2 linked regions of the Drosophila melanogaster genome follow. Changing the gene in region 1 together with any one later gene gives a genetic interaction. Each region holds a gene or a part of one and is shown in the gene's direction. Other genes may lie near its edges.

The links. Genes that interact genetically often act in the same process or in processes that back each other up.
Region 2: of upd2 (region 1) and PGRP-SD, changing one suppresses a phenotype caused by changing the other (phenotypic suppression), as found in Drosophila melanogaster (one study listed by BioGRID).

Annotation. Positions count from the first base shown.
Region 1 is NC_004354.4:18,241,474-18,245,229, reverse strand, and holds the start of upd2 (unpaired 2), read left to right. Parts: upstream 1-1,945; 5' UTR 1,946-2,010; coding exon 2,011-2,032; intron 2,033-2,138; coding exon 2,139-2,665; intron 2,666-3,012; coding exon 3,013-3,150; intron 3,151-3,348; coding exon 3,349-3,756.
Region 2 is NT_037436.4:7,649,057-7,652,433, forward strand, and holds PGRP-SD (peptidoglycan recognition protein SD), read left to right. Parts: upstream 1-2,123; 5' UTR 2,124-2,148; coding exon 2,149-2,709; 3' UTR 2,710-2,844; downstream 2,845-3,377. Other genes in the region: CG7492 (uncharacterized protein), read right to left, coding at 3,254-3,377. UniProt on the Drosophila melanogaster protein: Peptidoglycan-recognition protein that plays a key role in innate immunity by binding to peptidoglycans (PGN) of Gram-positive bacteria and activating the Toll pathway. Has no activity against on Gram-negative bacteria and fungi.

The DNA of each region.
Region 1 (3,756 bases):
CGATTTTCGTATAAATATAAAATTATGCGACGGCCCGAGACCATGAATCAGTTTCGCTTAGACACACGCCAATGCTAATTGTCCCGCGTTGTGAGCACAGCCCAACAATCGGAGTAAAGATACCGAAACACCCGCGACACACAATTACCAATCCGCACTAGAACGAACACAAATAGAATAATATTATAATATTATAATAGCCCATCTGACTGAACTGATCAGATCTGATCTCCGATCACTTCACTCCAGTTATCACTGGCATTGCCACCACACACACACACGCAGTATTATGGATGTTGCCAAAATAGAACGTGATCCGGTCCCAAAAATGCGACTTCACAGTGAGTATGGATCGGTTTGGGTGCAAAGTCCCTGCGAAATTAGATCACCGCTTTCCCAGTTAGAAGATAACTTTCCCCGTTCATTTCGCAATTGTTTATAAAAAGATGATTTGCTAGCTGACTGGCTGGCTAGCTGGCTAACTGGCCCATTACGGAATACCTTCGATCGGTTCCCATGATTAATGCTGTGTGCTCAACTTGGCCAGCTTGCCAGTTTGCCTATTTGGCAGTGTGCTAGTGTACTAGTGCCTTTTGCTTTCTGGGCTTTCTGGGGTGAATCCCCTTTGCCGGATGGCGAGTGATCGAACTGTTAATAATCGGCTTCGACGCTAATGCCAATGCTAGTGAATGGCAAGGTGGAATGTGCGAAGGCGCGATGGTGTTACCTCCAAAAGGGGCTCAATTAAAGACAGGTTAATTATAAACCAAATTTATAAAAATAACAGCTTAATTTTGATACAACAATATGTATCATATGTAGATAGTTGTAAATGGTAGCAGTGAAATCCCACCATTCAGTTGGCATTTGCCAATCGATTCGTCAACTTGAAGCCCTTCCTCTTCCCGACTATCTAGATACCTCGCATGACCAAGTTCCATCCTCGAATGATAAGAACACTAGCAACTTTCGTTGGCCAAGATCGTAGAGCATTAATCATCGCATTGCGTTCAAGCAGAACTTTCCAATATCCCGATAACCGACCAATTAGTGTTTATGGCCTTGGCCAGCTGATCAACTTGGCCAACCGCAGCAACAGCAACAGCAACAGCAACAACAACAACTAGTACTATAGCAGCACGTGCCTTATCGCAGTCGCAGAACCGCCGACAGCTCAGTCGGCGTCGTTATCAAGTCGCTGACCTACGACAACAGAGACGCCGAACGGCTGGCTGGATTGTTATTGGTCGGTGCGGAGCGAGCGGTCTGCTGAGCGGCAAAACGAATTATTCAAAGGTCGAGCGCGCTGCTATGGGCGGTGGGCGGTGGGTGGGTACGCTGGCTACGTCACCGTTGGCCGCAGACTCCGACGCCGACGCGCAGAGCGTCTGGGTAGCGTCTGGTCTGGCCTGGTATGGTCGCGTCGGGTCGGATCGGGTCGGAAGTCGTGAATCGAAATCGAAATCCGAAATCCGAAAAAAAAACCCAAATACCTATGAGTAATCTTTCTGGTGAAATTCAGCCAAAAGGCGGCCGAGAGAGCGAGAGACGGCCGTCCAGTGCGACTGACTTTGAGAGCATGACAAATGCTCGAAAACCATATCAGAAAATTGCTCAAGGCCTCGAACGGGTCGGGCTGCTGTAATTGCACTCACTCACTCACTCACTCGCTCGTTCGCTCACTCGGGCGCTCTCGCTCGCACTCGCAGACGCGATCGATTGGGATTGGGAGATCGGCACGGAGAATGAGTCGAGCCGAGTCGAGTGGAAGTGGGAATGCGTGAGCGACGCCAGGCGGCTGGAGGCTTACAAATTTTCGAGCGCCGCTGCAGCCGCAGTCACTTAGCCATCAGCCGTCGAGCGGGAGAGACCGTGGAGCGATCAGCATCAGCAGCAGCAGCAGCAGCAGCAAGCGATTGTGATAGTTGGCCAGCCAGCTAGTCAGTCAGTTAGCCAGTTAGCCAAGTTAGCCAAGTTAGCCCAGTTAGTGTAGTGTTAGTGATAGGCGCAATGCCAGCCTTTACCTTAAACGGTACGCCCGCATTTCCACCAAACCACACACCCCACCGCCCACCACCCATTGCAAACTGATACGATGGCCAATCCACTAACGCATCCACCATCTCTACCACTTGCAGCCAGCCAACAGAGCCAAAGCAGCCGCAGCAGCAGGAGTGCACACAGCAGCTGGAGCTGCCACAGCCGGCAGGTGCTGCTAGTGATCATGATCCTGAGCGTCGTGATGCCATTCACCAAGGCGCGACACTTGCGCGACCAGGTGGCACTGGACTACGCCTACGACGAGGACAACTCCGGCCGATCTTCCTCGTCGTCATCGTCATCCTCATCATCGGGTGGCGACATCCTGCCCGCCTTCGATGTCAATCCGTATCGCGGTCTGGCCGATAGCTTCGGCGAGGGCAGCTACGACAGTGATATGAGTCTCAGCGAGAGTAGCTACGAGGAGATCGCCCAGGCGGCCATCCGGGCTGCCAGGCGGGAGATGCGCCGTCAGAGGACGCGACACGCGCGCAGCCACAACCTGCGACTCTTCTCCGGCAAATCAGAGATCCCGGAGTGGGAGAACCCGTGCGGAGGCACCTACACGCCCGACGAGAGCCTCAGCGATAGCAGCGCCAGCCAAGGACGAGTTATCAAGCGCAAGGTGAGCAGGGGATCCAAAATGTTATACATATAAATTTAAATGGGAGAGATGGTGACCTACCTCAATCTTGGCTATCACTTAGATTTGCTTCAGCACTTAAGGGCAATGGAGGAAAGCAACCTACACCAAGCTTTTCTTACATTGTTTGATAACAGTTTATATTTACATAGTCGCAACGCAGCTTCATAGATACTAAGATACATAGATACTTTTGTGCGTTGTGTGTCCTGTTAGCATCTTTAGCAGGACAGCTACTTAGGCAGTTAGTTGAACCCGAAACGTTCGAGAAATTCTGTCACACAGCCAATATGCATTACTCATCGATTTCCCCCGCTCTCCACTTGCAGCACCTCGAAAACTTGCGGAACATCACGATGAGCGAATACCAAGATATAACCCACCGCGCCACCCTGGAGTACGGCAATCTGCAGCACTGGCAGCGCGAGTACAAGTTCCTGCCGAACATGACGAGGCCCACAAGTGCGGTAAGTTGATACCGATGCAGACCGCGCCAAAGAGATCCATCCAAACCGAGGCGGTGAGACAGAGTGAAGCGGACCTGCTCCGCCCTGGGCGGCGCAGACCAGTTTCCCAGTCGGCCCGCCTCATTTGCATGCCCTTCCCAGCTGCGCAGCATCCACATGCAACAGTCACTGACGAGCACTCTTCTACTCAATTTACAGGTGAAGCTAAAGACTTGGTACCGCCACATGCAGACCTTCGTGGGCAGCTTCTCATATCTGGGACGGGCGCAGTACAAGTTCCGCAAGGATCAGCAGAAGAGCCTCAACGAGGCGGTCACCAAGGAGCTGCACGACCTGCTGGTCAGCGCGCGCTATATGCTCTGCGAGATCGAGTTGACCATAAACGCCTCCTATCCGAACAGCAATGGTGCGAAGCTGAGCCGCGTTAGCCGGCAGGCGATGGAGGAGCGTCTCAACTTTCACACGCCAGCCAACGGATCCATGGAGGCGGACCAGCGCGACCTGAAGGTCAGCAAGGAGCTGTACTTCCAGTATCTGAACAACGTGTGGAAGACCCTGCACCGTGTCCTGCGGCGACCGCGACGCAATAGTGCCGAGCGGCGACAC
Region 2 (3,377 bases), on another chromosome or scaffold:
GTGCAAGTTCTTTTAATTTTAATTAAACGGATGAGCAGCAATTAGCGAAATAAATCTGACAATTTTGCAAATGAGCCAACTTGGCGCCCCAAAAATTGCATCCAAATGCGGGACAGATTAAATTGAGACTATGGAAGTGGCGAAAAAAATATGTTTTTCTCTGCAGGACATTGGAAAACTCCTACTAATAAAAAAAAAACAATTCGAATAACCAAACAACACGGATTTTTTGAGGGAGCCGATTTGCGGAGGGGTGCTCCCAACTCAGAACTCACTTAAATTCAAGTTAACGGCGAGTTTTTCCCGCCACCAGCTGGTTTTTCCAGCCGCGCATAGTTTTGGCTTCGGTTTTTGGTTTTAGCCCGGCTTTTTCGGGTTTTCTGGATGTTGCGGCTTAGCTCTCCCCACCACTCTCCCCTCAACTCTCATCCCTTTTCCATCGCATTTTATATTCATTTTGGCTTTTAATTGAGGGCGCTTACTTGCATTTTCGTTGTCACTTTGCGACTTCACTTCCTCATCACGCCCTTTTTTGGGGGCTTAATGGCCTGCACTCCGCTTTGTTTTTTGCAGTTTTTGCATTTAATTGCAAAAGTTTTTTAATTAAATCACTGCCTAGAACATCTGTGTCAAGTTGAGGTTTCTGTGGGCTCGTATTAACTGGCATAAAATAGGGATAAATCGGGGGGCCTCAATACATTTAAGGGAAATACGCGGTATAAAGTGTACCATTAGATAGTGGATGTTCAGATTGAAATTGCAATATAAAGTTGTACATGTACATTAGTGTACACAACACACTAAATTATGCGTACAATTATTTTCAAACCAATTATTTTAATTAGGTAAAAAATTAAAACTTACTTACCTTACTTTCTCTGTATTTATACATATTAATCATATTTATCTTTTAAGAATACAGGCTTCCTGTATAAGCATTTCACTATTTTTATACATACATACTTATGTATGCATGTACATACATATGTATGTACATGTATATATCAAACACACACAAAACACATAAAGAAAAAACAAAAAAAAAAAAATAATAATAACCGAAACCAAAGCTTTGCTTTATTCATTCATTCGCTATTAAGTAGTATTTCACAATTGTTTTAAGCTGACCTATGTATGTAAAAAATCATTCTACGTTGCCGTTGTGTAGAATCTAACTATTAAAATAACTGTTTAAAGTTAGTTTAATAAGTAAAGGAGGTAATAGTATACAAACAGAACGTACTTCCGCGCACACTAAAAAAACAGAACTGCTGCAAAAGAAGAGACCGAAATATATTCGATTAAAGAAAGCAAGACGAAATAACGGCACTTGCGCGAAAGCACGCTCTTTCTTTGGTTATGACTCACAATTCGGCGAGTAATTCGATCGCATCAAACACTTACGTTTGTTTACAGAGAGGCAATTGATTACAGTTAGTTCTTGCTCGAAGGCAGGCTTACAAGCTAGAAATAGCGGCACTTGCGCGAATGCTCACTTTTTCGGCTTCTTTTCTATTGTCGATATTACACGCAATTCAACGCTTAATTCGATCGCATTAAAAGAAATCAGTTATTGAAACGCGTAAAAATAGTGCGGTTTAATTATAGTTTGTGTCAGATTGGGATTATAACTAAATAAATACGAGTGTTCCGGTAAAATTAATATTACATCCCGCCAAAGAAAAACATCAAATCAACATGCTGTAAAAATGCTCAATCTGCTGATTCGCGAGTGTTAGTGTAAAATAAGTAAGAACTATGAAATAATCTAAAGCAGCAAATTTTTATTTAATAATTCACAAGAACGTGGTAAGTGATTTAAGTTCTATGTACATTTTACACTTTTTATTACATATATGTCCCCCTTGTGGTGGCCTTGTAGTTTTTAGGGGAATTTCGCTTGGCAAATTTTACCCATTTAGAAAAATTCTGAGAGAACGATATATTGCTATGCTAGTTGTTCTTATAATCGTTACCCCCTGTCAATTATCTATCACTGGCAAGAAAAATCCCCCTCATATATGTATGATACATTCATTTATATGGGGTCGGATGACTATCTCCTTGGGGGCACTCCCCTTATCAGCGGCAATAGGTGCCGCAGCCCATAAGATCCCAACCCAGTCAGTTGACAGACACGCAAGTGGAATGACTTGGATCGGTTTGCTCATCGTTGGCCTCACAGCAATCGCTGTCCAGGGGGAAGTACCGATCGTGACGAGGGCCGAGTGGAATGCCAAACCGCCGAACGGAGCCATAGACAGCATGGAAACTCCCTTGCCACGTGCTGTGATCGCCCATACAGCTGGAGGAGCTTGTGCGGATGATGTTACATGCTCCCAGCACATGCAAAATCTGCAAAACTTCCAGATGTCCAAGCAAAAGTTCTCGGACATTGGCTACCACTATCTGATCGGCGGTAATGGCAAGGTATACGAAGGCAGAAGTCCAAGCCAGAGAGGAGCCTTTGCCGGTCCCAATAACGATGGTTCCCTGGGCATTGCGTTTATTGGTAACTTCGAAGAACGGGCGCCCAACAAGGAGGCCTTGGATGCCGCCAAGGAGCTGCTGGAGCAGGCTGTCAAACAGGCTCAGCTGGTGGAGGGCTATAAGTTACTGGGCCATCGTCAAGTCAGTGCTACCAAGAGTCCTGGAGAAGCACTCTACGCTCTGATACAGCAGTGGCCCAACTGGTCCGAAGAAATGTGAAATATAGAGTGTGCATTGCATAAGGTTTCGACACGTAAAGACCACTCCTTACACATTTATTTGTAAATATAATTATGTATAATTTGTTTTTTTTTTTTTTGCTTAAATACGAATACTAAAATTTTAATTTTGTTGATCTGTTTCCGATGTACTTCTTCGACTTCGCACATTTTTGTCAGCTGCCGCTTTTTTTTTTTTTTACTTTTTTGTTTGTTGCCAGACCCGTTTAATAAGCAGGCCGCTCCCCAGGAGCAGTGCACTGGGCCACAATAGAGATTTGAGACATCACATAGCATCATTCACCGAACCGGAACTTCCGCAAGAAACTAAGCTAACTATACAGAACCCTAGATGAAGCACGGAACGCAGATGGAACGAACGTGAACATAGTCGTAGTCGTAATGGTATGCAGTAGATAATGCGCCAAACGAGAGAGGTAAACAAAAGTCGGCAACGTGGCAACAGATGCTGTTACAGATTACAGATTTAGAAAATATAAAACAAGGAACTATACAAAATTCGTAAAGTACTTAGGTAAATTGCACTAATATAAACTCCCATTTGAACTGCCGCTCGCACTGTCTGTACTGCCGACAATGCTGCCATTTCCGCTCATATTACCATTGCCAATTCCTATGCCAATACCGCTTCCGTTTCCGCTCTGTTGG